Linked DNA regions of Saccharomyces cerevisiae S288C. The protein of the gene in region 4 binds, or shares a complex with, the protein of the main gene of each other region. Each region holds a gene or a part of one and is shown on either strand. Other genes may lie near its edges. The genes, in order: CSE2, MED4, SOH1 and MED1.

What was found.
Region 1: MED1 (region 4) and CSE2 share a complex: the UniProt entries of both Saccharomyces cerevisiae proteins name them as parts of the mediator complex.
Region 2: MED1 (region 4) and MED4 share a complex: the UniProt entries of both Saccharomyces cerevisiae proteins name them as parts of the mediator complex.
Region 3: MED1 (region 4) and SOH1 share a complex: the UniProt entries of both Saccharomyces cerevisiae proteins name them as parts of the mediator complex.

Annotation. Positions count from the first base shown.
Region 1 is NC_001146.8:641,848-645,387, reverse strand, and holds CSE2 (Cse2p), read right to left. Parts: upstream 1,645-3,540; coding exon 1,195-1,644; downstream 1-1,194. Other genes in the region: DEAH-box RNA-dependent ATPase PRP2, read left to right, coding at 1-1,068; NRM1 (Nrm1p), read right to left, coding at 1,949-2,698; LRO1 (phospholipid:diacylglycerol acyltransferase), read right to left, coding at 3,007-3,540. UniProt on the Saccharomyces cerevisiae protein: Component of the Mediator complex, a coactivator involved in the regulated transcription of nearly all RNA polymerase II-dependent genes.
Region 2 is NC_001147.6:656,090-660,101, reverse strand, and holds MED4 (Med4p), read right to left. Parts: upstream 1,356-4,012; coding exon 501-1,355; downstream 1-500. Other genes in the region: ALE1 (lysophospholipid acyltransferase), read left to right, coding at 1-287; DCS2 (5'-(N(7)-methyl 5'-triphosphoguanosine)-(mRNA) diphosphatase), read right to left, coding at 1,777-2,838; YRM1 (Yrm1p), read right to left, coding at 3,532-4,012. UniProt on the Saccharomyces cerevisiae protein: Component of the Mediator complex, a coactivator involved in the regulated transcription of nearly all RNA polymerase II-dependent genes.
Region 3 is NC_001139.9:269,427-272,704, forward strand, and holds SOH1 (mediator complex subunit SOH1), read right to left. Parts: upstream 1,350-3,278; coding exon 966-1,349; downstream 1-965. Other genes in the region: U2-type spliceosomal complex subunit CWC23, read right to left, coding at 1-718; SCS3 (Scs3p), read left to right, coding at 1,571-2,713; methylenetetrahydrofolate reductase (NAD(P)H) MET13, read left to right, coding at 3,094-3,278. UniProt on the Saccharomyces cerevisiae protein: Component of the Mediator complex, a coactivator involved in the regulated transcription of nearly all RNA polymerase II-dependent genes.
Region 4 is NC_001148.4:683,909-688,792, forward strand, and holds MED1 (Med1p), read left to right. Parts: upstream 1-1,989; coding exon 1,990-3,690; downstream 3,691-4,884. Other genes in the region: HOS1 (histone deacetylase), read right to left, coding at 1-445; SPE3 (spermidine synthase), read right to left, coding at 648-1,529; YPR071W (uncharacterized protein), read left to right, coding at 4,264-4,884. UniProt on the Saccharomyces cerevisiae protein: Component of the Mediator complex, a coactivator involved in the regulated transcription of nearly all RNA polymerase II-dependent genes.

The DNA.
Region 1 (3,540 bases), on a different chromosome or scaffold from region 4:
GTTAAGGAAAATTCGTACGTACCCTCCACTGGAATGACCCAACTTTTAACAGTTCCATGCTCAAGAGCTTCAGTTGATCAGCGTGCCGGTAGGGCTGGTCGTGTTGGGCCGGGAAAATGTTTTAGAATTTTTACCAAATGGTCATATTTGCACGAGTTGGAACTTATGCCTAAGCCTGAGATCACAAGAACAAATCTTTCTAATACGGTGTTATTATTATTATCGCTTGGCGTTACTGACCTAATAAAGTTTCCCCTGATGGATAAGCCCAGTATCCCCACATTACGGAAGTCTTTGGAAAATTTATACATTTTAGGTGCCTTAAATAGCAAAGGGACAATCACTCGGTTAGGTAAAATGATGTGCGAGTTTCCTTGTGAACCTGAATTTGCAAAAGTGCTTTATACAGCTGCTACGCACGAACAATGTCAAGGTGTACTAGAAGAGTGTTTGACCATAGTTTCGATGCTACATGAAACACCTTCATTATTTATTGGTCAAAAAAGAGATGCTGCGGCAAGTGTGTTAAGCGAAGTGGAAAGTGATCACATATTGTATTTGGAAATCTTCAACCAATGGAGAAACTCTAAATTTTCCAGAAGTTGGTGTCAAGACCACAAAATTCAATTCAAAACGATGTTGAGGGTAAGAAATATTAGAAACCAATTATTCAGGTGCAGTGAAAAGGTTGGATTAGTTGAAAAGAACGACCAAGCCAGGATGAAGATAGGCAATATAGCGGGCTACATAAATGCTAGAATAACTCGATGCTTCATCAGCGGGTTTCCGATGAATATTGTACAATTAGGCCCCACCGGCTATCAAACCATGGGTAGGTCATCAGGTGGGCTGAACGTTAGTGTTCATCCTACCAGTATACTTTTCGTTAATCATAAGGAAAAGGCGCAGAGACCAAGCAAATATGTGCTTTATCAACAATTGATGCTAACGTCGAAGGAATTTATCAGGGACTGTCTAGTTATCCCTAAGGAAGAATGGTTGATAGACATGGTTCCACAAATCTTTAAAGATTTAATTGACGATAAAACAAATAGGGGGAGGCGGTGAAGGTTTTTTGACAGGTGTATGTGTATTGCTAGAAACGCAGGCTCCATTCTATATGCACGTTTGAAGATGTGGTATGCGTATGTATATATATATATATATATAGACTAAAGATAGATAGCATAGATTTTATCGTTGTAACTTGCGATAAAGATCATCCAAGACGTCTCTCTTAATTTGCAGTTCTTGTTCACGTTGATGGATGATATCCTGCCATTCTGATGGACTTTTACTTAATAAATCCTTGGTATCTTCGTTTTCCGATATCAAAGATTTACAAAGTTTCAAACGATGTCTAATCGAACCTGTTAAGGTTTCCAATTGATTTGAGAGATTGTTTGGATCCTTCCTTATTTGGTGCAGCGAATAAAAAATATGCGGTATAAATTCACCGTTGGAACTGGTGGAGGGAGTACTCAGATTTTTCGGCTGCTGGTTGGTAAGATAGTCTTTTTCATCTCTATTTTCTGCAGACGAAAATTCTTCCTTTGTAGCCTCAGCATTAGGTTTATCGAGAGTAGGATTCGTAGGCAGCAGAATCTGGTGTATCTGATTTAAAACGTTGTTCTGTAGATTCATTTTATGGCGACTTTCAGTGCTCGTGTCTCTCTGGTAGATGCTGGTATGCTTCGCCTTCTTTTTCCCATTTATGCATGTTCTCTTTTTTTCTTTTATTTTCTTCAATTCGGTTACAGTTAATGGCCGCAGTAGAATTGCAATCGATACTAATAAAATCAGGTTTTATATGATATTCTATCTAATTATACGTACAGAACTAAAGCGGAAGTGAAAAGGTAATGTGGAAGATATACGAAGACAATAATATTATTATATACACAATGAAGGAGAATGAAAATGAAAGATAGAAATATTGGGGGTGGGATTATTGGTTACTTGTAAAGAGATGAATTAAAGACTTAGCGGCTTTGATGCTTGTAGGTGTTTCTTGTCTCTGATACAATGTGCGATTATGACTGTTTGAATGCTTTGTGTTTATGTTGTTGCGTATTGGTGTGGTGGTATCTGCGACGTTCATATCTGCGGTAGTGCTCGAGCTTTCGCTGACACCGCGGAAAGATGTAAAGGAAGATGTATTATCGTGAGAGCAAATCGAAGATGGAGTTTTGATCTTAGACCTAGCAGGGGTTTTATAATGACCCTGAGATAGTACTAATTTTCTTCTCCTAGTTAAAGGTTCTGATTTACTGTGAGTCGCGACTTTGGAAGGCCTCGTAATGCTATGCTTTGATTTCAAGTCTGTGAAATTTTTGTCTGTTTGCTTAGTCTTGTATTTATAATAGGCGAACTGTAAACGAATTTGCAACTTCTTGGAAAGCTCAGAGTAATCTCTAGACGTTGTTTTCGTACTAATACCATCCTGGCATGAGGACTTACTGGCACAAGCCATACCTCCGCCACTGCTCCTCATTAGGGGAACAGGAAGACTCTTCGTGTTTTCGTATACTTCAGGACTAACCATCAAACTCTTGATAGAGGGAAGACACACAGTCCCGACGTTGTTTTCTCCATGGTTTCTAGGCTCGCTAGCGTCTGCAATATTGGCAATTGCCAGTTTGTTGATCTTCGAGCTGGAAAACTCCCCCAGTGGTAGCCTCTGCTTCATAATGGACATGAACGGTTGTTTTTCCTCTATGCGTACGTCGCTGCTGCAATTGGCCCTCTCCGCAGCCTACTTAGAAAACAGTGTTTTAAGTTTGTGTATATATAATCTATAAAAGCAAATAACCAATTACACAAACCTGTCAAAAACCTTCTCCTCTATCTACTGTCGTTTGTTTTTTCGTTTGTTTTTTCGCCTTTTTTTGTTTTTGTTTTTGTTTTCTGTTTATTTTCTAGCCTAAAAAGGCGCGTCGACGCGACGCGCCTTCTTTTCGCTCTTTGAAATAATACACGGATGGATAGTGAGTCAATGTCGGTCATTTACATTGGGAAGGGCATCTGAGAAACCCACTGGCTCAAATTAGACAATTGGCGTGGCTCGACGAGATCGCCATTACCGCTTGCAATTTTCAAGATGTAATCGTTCAACTCCGCGCTGCCGAGGATGTCTACGTGTTCGGCGCTTTTTGCTCCACCACGTATATCAAATCGATCTGGCTGGTGTTTCATTTCCACAATAGTAACGTTAATTCCGGCAGGGTTGTACGGTGAAGCACCCTGGGCCCATTTGTGACACATTGAATGCGCCACGAGCGGAACGGTTCCGTCCCCCTCGGTGAGGAATACAGGTTGCTTGCTTTCGTAGTCGATGGTCAAATTCAGAGCAGAGGAGTCATCCTCTTCCTTATATACATATGCCCTTTCAGTTGGGTTGTTCACCCCGTATATACAATAGATTTTCATGTGGGGAGCTTCTGGAAGTGGTACTTCCATTGGATTCGACCAGTGCTTGTGGTGTAGCTCATTTTTTCTTAACTCTTCTTCATTCTTGGAATAGCCGAACGAGTACTGCTC
Region 2 (4,012 bases), on a different chromosome or scaffold from region 4:
AACATGAAAAGGGAAAGACAGCAGAAGAAGAAGAAATGAACTTAGGTATTCCACCAATTGAGTTAGAAAAGTGGGACAATGCTAAGGAAGATTGGGAAGATTTCTGCAAAGATTACAAAGAATGGAGAAATAAAAATGGTCTTGAAATAGAAGAGGAAAACCTTTCTAAAGCTTTTGAAAGATTCAAGCAGGAATTTTCTAACGCTGCAAGTGGATCAGGTGAACGTGTGAGAAAAATGAGTTTTAGTGGTTACTCACCAAAGCCTATTTCAAAAAAGGAAGAGTAGATGGCCAAAAACGACAGATGCGTGTGGAAGTCACAGTCTTGTTGTCTTATTTTCCAGTTCCTGTGGGAACTTACTTTCAAATGTTTTTCATACACTTTGACATATTGCAGTAAATTATATATGTAATTTTATATACGCTTTTACCTACACGAATTATTGTCTAACTTTTTTTTTTCTTCATTCCTAACGAGGAAGAGATTCAAGACACTGCAACTAGAAGTCGTCCGGATCAAACAGATCAAGATCAAGATCTAGGGCATCATCATTATTTTCTTCCTTTTCTTTATCTTTGGTATTGTCTGCCTCATCACCAACTTCTTTAGCAGTACCATCAAATATAAACGAGTCTGTCTTTGGTGTACCTTCTTTCTTGGCCATCTGCCCTTTTTGTTCTTCACTTTGAGATGGCGGTACGGTCGGTACTTCTGTTTCTTCTACTTCTTCACCGGGTATTCTAGTTAGCTCTTTACTATGTAATGAGGCCATAGCAAGCATTCCTCTTCGTAGGGCATCCTCTGCGGGCCATATAAAATTGTTGGGTCCCACAGCTCCCTTGTCGAACGTTGGTGGTATTTTGGTAAACTTGGAGAGTTTGGTGGCATAATCCAACAACTCTGTCGAATTGATTTTCGATCTTTGCTGTAAAATTGTGTTTTTCTCGAACTCTACTTGTTCAAGCATCGGTAGTGCTTTTAACTCGTCATGACATTCATTTAGAATTTCCAATATCTTCCTGGTTTTAGAATCTAGTTCTTCAGAGTCTTTGTCAATCTTCTGTAAGTTGCGGTAGATATTGTCATATTCAGCTAACAGTTTGACGTTTTCAAACAAGGCCTCATCAGTTCTGATCAAATCCTTGGCAATATCAAGGTTTGGTTTGAAACGATCTACAGATTCCACCAACTTACTCAATGTATCCTCGTACCGGCACAAATCTTCGTAGAGTTGGACCTTAGATAATTTGTCTTCACTATTCGTGTTTGAAGTAGCCTCTGCTACCAGGGATACAGAGGATGATCTGATGTGACCCATAGAAAACTCTACCGCTTTAGTATCTTGGACAGACATAACATTCGTTGTGTGTACTCTGGAAGTAATTGATACTAGATGCTTTCTCCACCGTTAACAATATACCAGAAAACCTTGTTGAAAACGGGACACGTTATAACTACTTTCCTTCGCGGTATGGTGAGCAGAGAATGCAAAAGTTTATCTTTTTCTCCAGCCTACCTTACGTAGGTGGTAATGCACTATTTTTTCGCATTTCTTTGAAAAGGCTGGCAATACGTCAAAGGCTATGTATGCTATAAGGGAAAGAAAGCTTATACGGAAAATAGCAACTGAATGTACTATGTTACTGTGCATTCGCATTCTATGTTAAAATTCAAAATCCATTGAGATGTATACACAAACATTTAAATAAGACATTTATATAAGCCGGCGCTTCCTGAAGTTCAGCACATGAAAAAATAGTGCTGCTCTTCTACCTTCAACCCAAATTGGTATTGAACCCAGAGCCTTTTTCAGGACTGGTTGCGATACCATCATGCTTCAGTTGCTTTTCAACTTCTTCCTTAAAGCCCTTTTTCCATAAATCATGATTTTCACCAATGACATAAGTAAGCGTCTTCTTCATATAACCTTCAGGACCTAAGAAACCCAACGCTTCTATAACATCTTCCAACAGTATTGTCATTCCGGAGCCTCTCTCCTCGCCTACTCCTGGATGCCTTATATTCACTATATGGACATGAAAATGGTAATATGAAGGTTGATAATGAATGAAAACTCTTAGCTCGTCCGGGTTTACATTATAGTCATAGTGCTGGGGGATGATGGTCTTAATCTTCTTATTGAGTCTAATTAACCAATCTCTATGGTTTGGGTTCAAATCTCTCAAAGATTTGATGTCGTCCCTGTACACGATCGCGACCAGGTATAACGAATCAATGTTGATTCCGTCCCACTTCATATCGGGCAAGATGACGAATCCATCCTCTTTATTCCTGCTACTGTATTCCTTATAAACAACTCTATCATCCTCGGCGCCCTCGTAAAGAATGTTGTTTACCCATTTCATTCTTTCGCTGGTACACATCTCTTGGATAAAGGGCACAACTATGTTTCTATACATATCAGGAGTTTCTCTGACGACATGTAAATCCTGCTGGTCGTATCCCTTGATGTGGAACTGCGAGGCGGGCCAAATTAAGTTAACCTTCGCAGTTGGGTTATGCAAAATATGCTGCTTCAAAACAGACAACCCCCAGTAGTAGATGTCATTCGAAGTTAATTCCTTCAGATCAGTAATACCGTTTAAAAAGGAGTACTCGTCTATTTCACGATGAAAGAAAATCGGAGTGCTACGGCCACTTTGAGAGGGTCTACGTACCGTTTCATCAAATATGAAATGCGTCTTTTCAGCAGTTAACACGGCATCCTTCCCATCTATGCTGCCTAGTAGTGAGATTACCTTTGTATGAGGGTTCGAATCTAACACCCTGACGTATTTAAACCTCCCAATTAAACTAGCTAAATCTTGGGAACCCATCATGTATTTTTTTACTTTTACACGCTCAAATCTTTTCAATTTTGCAATGAAAAGGTACCGACCTAACATATATTTGAAGACCAAACGAAACCCCCGTGCTTCTGTTTCTCTTCTTTCTGCCTTTATACTCATTGGTATTGTCACCCCTTATTTCCCCCCTAGGCGTCTGCGCGGCCGCTGTCATGGGGCTGTCCTTTCGGACTAGCATATAATCACTGACGCTAGCTCTAATCGATCAATAATTAAGTGGAAGTATTTTGTTGAGGTGGGTGATTATTATGGGGAAGATTTTTGACAATCGAATGAACACTTTAACAGCTTTTGGAGGCTAGAGTGCCAGTAAGCTCCATACTTCTTTGGAGTTGATTTCTTTTTCTTGCAGAATAGGTTGGACAAAGTACATCCATCAGAACAATTGCAGGTGCCTTTTGTTCACGCAATTACTGGCTTTTCCTTGTTTGTTTGGTCAAGAAGTTAGTGTTTAGCTTTTTCCCTTCATTTTTTTATTTTTCTTATTTTATAGATGCTTAAATGTCATTTTTGTCTTACTAATCATTAAATAGTTGGTCCGAAAGATAGGTCCAAGCGCAAGTCCAAGCCAATGGCTTGCTCTCGACTGTCTTCCATTACAATATGCAAGTTTTCTATCTAGCTGCTGTCGCAAGCATGTTTTTTTGTAAAAGAACTTCTCCTCTACTGCGTATCAAATAAATATTTATAATCTGGCTGACTCATTAGTTCCTCCCAGCCAAGGTTGTACGCCGTCCAAAATTCGTTGGATATTGTCTGTGCCAGTTCAGTCTCAATTGGCCCAGTTTCATTGTTATGCGAAGCGTTTTCGCTGTTATTTCGCACTTCCTCCGGGGGTAATCCTGGAGAATTTCCCGCCAATGGACTGGCGCTTGTGACGCCCAGGTCACTTAAACTGGGATCGATTGGAGTATTTACATTGTCAGTGAGCGAATAGGACCCATTCAATTCGTCTTGGAGTTGTTGTAACCATGTGTTTTCGACCTCGGTTCTATATTTGATTACTTTTTCCAAAACAGCTCTATATATGCTTTCCAGGGCGATGTTGATAACAAATGTATAAGAGCGAGCCATAATAATTCTTAACTGCTTGTTGTTATCATTAGACCATTTAGCAAATATATCTGAATGTATTTTGAAAGCA
Region 3 (3,278 bases), on a different chromosome or scaffold from region 4:
CACTTGACCAGTTTCGGAATACGTGCTGCGCTGTGATGGGAGTATCGAATACAGTATATATGATGATTGAATCATCCTTCGAGTAGTTGTTTCTTTCAGAGAAGTAGATGTCGTAGATTTCATTAGCACTTAGCGTGATGAATACTTGATTGCGCAAATGAGATAAGCAGTTTGATTTATTATTTGATTGCAGGAAGTTGTCAAGGACAATTCTCAAAGTAGAGCAATCGTAATACGGATGTTGCGAAGCATTTTCTTGGTCTTGTGTGTTGAGATGTTTCCAGTCACCATAGGGCAAGTTGAAATGTTTTAGTTTCCTGAGTAGCTCGCCGTGGCGTTGGATTTGCAATAAATCAGGATGTGGTGTGGTGGTGGGTATCGTACTCGATTCAGATTCTTCCAGCTTTTGTATAAGTTTATTTCTTTCAATGTCGTTTGTTTTCCGTAGGAACTCAATTAACCAGCGGTCGTAATGGGGTCTCACGTCTGCATTGGTGAGGATATTAGTTGCGGTCGATAATAAGTGGAATTTGTGTATAATTGATGGATTGTCCGGGTGTTTGTCAGGATGATACTTCAGGGCAAGGGTCCTGTATTTGCGTTTAATTTGGGGCAAATCATCGTAGATGGTATGGACGTCCAGGGGGGTCGGTAATTCTAATACATCATATAGGTTCAAACGTTGATTTATTACGTCTTCCAATTCGTGTCCTGGCATAGTCGTGGCGAGGCTTGTAGTACGGCGATGGACTTGCTTTTTGATTTTGCTTTCATCTTCTAATGTCTTGCGAGATAATATGCAAGGAAAACAAAGGAAAGAAAATACAAAGTAATGCGGCTTGCATATATATATACATATATATATGTATATATGTGATATATATATGTGTGTGTGTGTATATATATTCATGAGTGTATAAAATAGATATATGAATGCGTGCGAATGTAGTTATAATTAGGTGTGTTCAGTTGGCCCATCTTTCTACCATTTCATTCATCCATTGCGGGCCTTGTAATTGAATGATCTTGGGCAGCTCGTCTAGCCCTTCCAGCAGGCCATCTTCATTAACGATCGCCGACTCCATGAACCCGTTCAACAGCTTTAAAATGAAGAGACAGTTTGGATACACAATGCATTGCGAATAAGGGGGGTTGCACCAGTACTCCAGGTATTTCAAGTAGTTTTTGAAGTTAGGAGACTTCCAGATCTGCTGTTGAGTGAGTAAGTACGTTACGTATTGGATGTTTGCCAGTGACTGGATAAATTCGAGCTCCACTTCGAACCTCGTGGGGAGAGGATTTTGATCCGAGGAAGGTGTCGCTGGTGCGTTTCCATTAGTGCTTGACATCCTGGGTGGAGCTTGGGGGAACTTTGCCGTCTTATGAGTGCTATAAGTTTTGGCTTACTTTGCCTCATTTTTCCTGCATTTCTTTTTCTTTTTCATCCTTTAAGAACACGTTAGCGGGAAAACCGTGAAATAAAATACAAAACGAACTGTTCGAAAAAAGCCAAAGGGGAAACGCCTAAAACTCCACTGAAACCAGCTATAAAGCACGGCATATTACAACAATGTCTAGCAAATGGTTTAATGCTATACACCTACTGGTGTGCCCGTTGACGGTACTGGTAGGATATCTCATGAACGCGTATGGCTACGGTGCGGCGCTGCAAGCAACCCTGAATAAGGATGGTCTGGTAAATGCTATGTTGGTAAAGAAAGGGTGGTTTTGGACTTCCTTGGTCGGATGGTGGTGTATTATACGCTACCGTGCGGTGCCGGGGGCAACCGGCAGAGACCGAAGACACATTGTCCAGTCATTCAAAAGGTATGCCATACTGACAGTGTGGTGGTACGTATTCACGCAAGGTATATGGTTTGGCGTAGGCCCCATCATGGACTTGGTATTCGTATATACGGGTGGCCATTGTCACTATGACGTCTTCGATGATGCAGGTCACGTGAACGAAGACTTCCAGGGTTCTGTCACCCGGACTAATCGCGCGTTGGCGCTCATTCACAATGTCCTCACTTTGCACGGACACCACCAAGAACACCGTCAGCAACAACTCTGGGACCGCTCCATAGGGTCGATCCAGGGCGCCCTGCAGGCGACGCAACCGAAAACCCCAAAAAACGTAACGGCCAGCGCTGCCGCTGCCATCAATACTTTTATTCATGACCAGATGCACAGGTGGCAAGGTCCGTTAACCACCTCGGCACAGTGCAGACGTTTTGGAGGCCATTGGGCTGGAGGACACGATCCATCCGGGCACGTGTTCTTGGCCACCTTGATGTGCATGTTTCTTCTAGGTGAGCTACGTGTGTTTGGGCGTCGTGCACTGGCTCACTTGTACGCGCAGAAATGGCAGCTTGTACGATTGGTGACCCGCCTTTTCGACACTGGACCGCTATGGACGTGGCGGCGGTGTGGCGGCGGCTCAATGACCTGTGGCGCCCGTTTGTGGCGTGCGATAGTCGAGCCGCCTGTCACGTGCGCGGCCGCCCTGCTCCGTTTGACGCGATGCATAGCATGCGACCACCCAGTAATCATACTGCTGACGCTATTGGTCACGTGGTTATGGCAGCTGCTGTTGACTGCGGTGGCGTCCCGTTTCCACACCGTACGTGAGCACATGTCTGGATTGCTAGCTGCGTACATAGTGACAGGCCTTGTCTACGCTCGCGACGCAGCCGCGCTACGTCCAGTATGACTCAGGAAAAGTTGGCGATAGACCACGAGCGACTGAAAAAATAACAGCGACTTTTCTCCCGGTAGCGGGCCGTCGTTTAGTCATTCTATCCCTCGGATTATAGACTGTGAATATTGCATATGCAACTTTGACTCAAATTTTTCCAAAATTTGATATATATATATATATATATATGTTTGTATGTATATATATATATACGTATATATATCATATATACGAAAAGTAGAAAAAAAAAGGTGATATTTCGCTCGTGGAAAAGCTAATGCCACAGCTTGTGTTTCGTGTAGTTTGCCTTGCTCCCCTTGATTGAAATAGTCTCCCTAAACTAAAGTTATCAGCAAACAGAACCACCACAGTTACTACTACAACCACATCGCAATATGAAGATCACAGAAAAATTAGAGCAACATAGACAGACCTCTGGCAAGCCCACTTACTCATTCGAGTACTTCGTCCCGAAGACTACACAAGGTGTACAGAACCTGTATGACCGGATGGACCGGATGTACGAGGCTTCTTTGCCCCAATTTATTGACATCACCTGGAATGCAGGCGGTGGACGGTT
Region 4 (4,884 bases):
CATTGGTGGGCACCTCACTGTTATTAATACAGTCCATATTATTTTCGAGCGCTTGTGAGTGATTCAGATAATAATTATAGAGATTCTCTCTAGTGGTGAATCTCTGAAGATCTTGCGATGGATTGTAGTCGATTTTTTCGTTCCAATTATCGGCCAATTCACTCAACTCACTCCATTTGGACTCTACCATGGGATTATTTACATCTTGTGCCATCATTTTATTGAATCTGCCATTTATCAAATAATCGATATATGATTTCGAATGGAACTCCAGCAGATCATCCTTTCTGGCGTAGGGAAATGTTAGCACTTCGTCAAAGTGCTGGAGAAGATCGTACGCGTTTATTAGGGAATATGTCAGCTGCGATTTTTGATGATTGTTACATGGGAGTAAATCTGCTACTTGAGACTGAAATATTGACGTTGATATGACCAATTTCGACATAGCGTTTTTCTAAAATGGACAGGTGTTTATTAATTCATATTACAGTACATACACCTTTTTTTTACTTTTTGTTTCTTTATTAATTTTTTAGTTTTTTTCATATTCTATTTTATTATAAGTAGTAATATGAAGAAATTTCCCAAGCAAAGCTCAATAAAATTATTTAGCTAAACAAACATATGCATATATATGTATATTCTCCCTAATTTAATTCCTTGGCTGCCCAGGTTGGTAGAACAAAGGAAGCTTCGTGAATTTTCTTGTTATAGTATCTGTATAATTCAGCCTCCTTCTCATCAGAGATTTCACGTAGTGGCTTCTTGACATTGCAAGTTTTATCTTTGGAGCAAACCATAAAACCAATCGTACCAGTTGGGTAAGTTGGAATAGTAACGAAAGAGTATTCTGCAACTGGGAAAACTTCAGAACAGGCTTTCTTTAAGTCCTTAATGATTGGCAAGTGAATCCACATACTTTCTGCTTGTGTAGTGATTACACCCTTTTCTGTCAACGCACTGTTCAACAATTGGAAATATTCCTTTTGGAAAAGGGTTTCAGCTGGACCTTCTGGGTCAGAAGAGTCAGTAATGATTACGTCAAATGTGTTTTGGTAATCTCTTAAAAATTGGAAACCATCACCAATGTGGGTCTTAACCTTTGGGTGAGAATAAGAGGCAGCCATTTCTGGTAGGTACTCCTTTGATAGTCTAATAACAGCTTCATCAATGTCACATAACCAGGCTTCCTCAACGGAATCATGCTTGACAACCTCTCTCAAAACACCACCATCACCCCCACCAATAACAAGAACCTTCTTAGGATTTGGATGGGAATTCAAGGCAAGATGGGCAATCATTTCTTGGTAGGCAAATTCATCCCTTTCGGTGGCTTGAATTACATTATCTAAAACTAGAACATTACCATATGTAGTGGATTTGAAGATCAAAACGTCTTGATATTTTGACTTCTCATGGTGTAAAACTTTCTCCACTTTTAAAGTCATGGCCTGGCCTGGCCACATGGTATCAGAAATTTCTCTGAACCAGCCGTCTACAATAGTTGGGTGAGTGATTTCTTGTGCCATTAGATTTATTGCTTATTAGTGTTTGCTCTTCTTGACTGAACTACTATGTGAAGCGTACAAGATACTAAATTACTAAGTCAGTTTTATATCACAGCTATTCCTTATCTCATGCCAATAGCATTTTTAGAGAAAAAAATGAAAGGTGAAAAAATTTTTTTTCTCAAGCAAAGAAATGAGGAGTTCCTGAAATCATGCAGGTGCAGAATATTGGTGTAGAGAATCGCGTTTGTATATTGTCTTAATCCTGTACTTACGAGTAGGTATTTGATGTTTTAAAAATTGCAAATGTACTTTTTGCGAAATCTTGCAACATTTTTTTTGTCAGGATGTAATTGCAACTAATTAATTTTTCAAAACTTAAAATGAAGGTTACCTATTAAGGAACGTTTGTGTTTGAAAAAGAACTCCTAATCAAAAGCAAAGAAAACATAGAACAAAAGCCAACAAAACTCTTTTGGAGATGGTAGAAGGAGACTCTTATGTGGAGACTTTAGACTCCATGATTGAATTATTCAAGGATTACAAACCTGGTTCCATAACTTTGGAGAATATAACACGACTTTGTCAAACTTTGGGTCTCGAGTCCTTCACAGAAGAATTGAGTAATGAACTTTCAAGATTATCGACGGCATCTAAAATTATCGTGATAGATGTTGACTACAATAAGAAGCAAGACAGAATTCAGGACGTTAAACTCGTACTAGCATCTAATTTTGATAATTTTGACTACTTTAACCAACGAGATGGAGAGCATGAAAAAAGCAACATTCTTCTAAATTCCTTAACAAAGTATCCTGATTTGAAAGCTTTTCATAACAATTTGAAGTTTCTATATCTGTTAGATGCATATTCCCACATCGAGTCCGATTCTACCTCCCATAATAATGGGTCTTCTGACAAAAGCTTAGATTCAAGCAACGCATCATTTAACAACCAAGGTAAACTTGATCTTTTTAAGTATTTCACGGAACTATCACACTATATAAGACAATGTTTCCAAGACAATTGTTGCGACTTTAAAGTCAGGACCAATTTGAATGATAAATTTGGAATATATATTTTAACCCAGGGCATCAATGGTAAGGAAGTGCCTTTAGCCAAAATTTATTTAGAAGAAAACAAAAGCGATTCACAATACAGGTTCTATGAGTACATATATTCACAAGAAACCAAATCTTGGATAAATGAATCTGCTGAGAATTTTTCTAACGGCATTTCCTTGGTTATGGAAATAGTAGCAAACGCTAAGGAAAGTAACTATACAGACTTAATTTGGTTTCCTGAGGATTTCATATCACCGGAACTTATTATAGATAAAGTTACATGTTCATCAAACTCATCTTCTTCGCCACCTATAATTGATTTATTTTCGAACAATAACTACAATAGTAGAATACAACTGATGAACGATTTTACAACAAAATTAATCAATATTAAAAAATTTGACATAAGTAATGACAATCTAGATCTAATCTCTGAGATACTAAAATGGGTTCAATGGTCGAGGATAGTACTTCAAAATGTTTTTAAACTGGTCTCCACACCTAGTTCAAATTCAAATTCATCGGAACTTGAACCTGACTATCAAGCTCCATTCTCCACCTCGACTAAAGACAAAAATTCTTCAACATCTAACACTGAGCCAATTCCAAGAAGTAACAGACATGGAAGTGTAGTAGAGGCCTCTAGAAGAAGGCGTTCTTCAACTAATAAAAGCAAACGTCCCAGTATAACTGAAGCAATGATGCTTAAAGAAGAGGGTTTACAGCAATTTAATTTGCACGAAATTTTATCTGAACCCGCAATAGAGGAGGAAAATGGAGACAGCATCAAAGAGCACTCTACAACTATGGATGGTGCCAATGACCTCGGATTCACCGCCTCTGTTTCGAATCAAGAAAATGCAGGAACTGATATTGTGATGGAAGATCATGGTGTACTGCAAGGCACTAGTCAAAATTATGGTACTGCAACAGCGGATGACGCAGACATAGAAATGAAAGACGTCAGTTCTAAGCCTAGTAAACCTGAATCGTCGGTCTTACAACTAATTGTAAGTGAAGATCATATCATTCTCGACACTATTTCAGAATGTAACTTGTATGATGATGTAAAATGCTGGAGTAAATTTATTGAAAAATTTCAGGATATCGTTAGCTAAGGAGGTACGGAGTGGCTCAAATACACATTGTGGACCGTACACTCGATGGAGTTTAGGTTTACGTACACCTTCTAGTGCAAGGTGCATGCTTTTCATACCTCATATGACTGAGTTTGTTTAGTGTGGCCTATATTCTAAAAAAGATAAACGTTAGAATAAATGAGCTTGCGAACTGAGCCATTTACCGGTCATTTGCCAATATATATAATCAAGGACATCTCTATCATTGTGAGAAATACTAAAAATGTAGGAAAAAGGTTAAAACAAGAACCACTAACACGCTAGATAGGTAGATAGGTAGGTAGGAGGAGGTCGATATTATTACTGCATATATATATTTTTTTCCATTCTGCGTTTTCTTGCTGCAGCGTATTTATGTATCAAGATCCCGGGGCAGCTGTAAGTGTACTGTCTAGAAAATAAATCAGCAGGCCGCTTGCTACTTCAGTAAAAAAGAGAGTAGAAACTGGAAATTTTTTTGGCAGTCAAAAATTTAATATATAAAAAAGGCCCTTTCTGTTTTAAGTGCATTTATTAAATGTTTCCAGTTCCAAGACGATTGGCAACGGAATTATGCAAAACGGCACAGAAGACAAAAGCAATATTCCTGCTCGTAGTAATGATGATGTATTGCCGCCGTTAGCCGTCAGACTTACTATGAAAGTAATGCGATTAATTTTCATCGGAAAAATGTTTGCATATTCATTTGTACCCTTTCCCCCATTTAAACTTTTGACATTTGATAATACTGTGGGCTGGTTCGTAGCATATTCAGCGATCGTTTCTATTTGGGGGTTTGCTGTGTGGATGGAAAGAGGATATAGACATAAGATTAATCTACTGCCTCCAAGATGTACGAAGATAAGATGCTCTCGCTGCAATACAAGAATAAGATCCCCCAATTGGTTCAAATATAAGAATTGGTTATATTTTTTCCTATTATACGTTTCTCTAACCACTTCTAACTTAATAATTCAACTGGCCTCTTTTATGACAGAAATGAGTCGTCGGGGTATAAGCGTTCCTGGAACGAAGGATCCAGGCAAGAGAGATTATTTAGGGCTTATCATACCAATGCGATTCATTGGTGCATTTATCCATTACATGACGGCTAATTTATTCAAAGAGTATTATTTACATAACGGCCCACTAGAAAAGAATGATAGACCTTCTACCGATGAGAAGACATCAGAG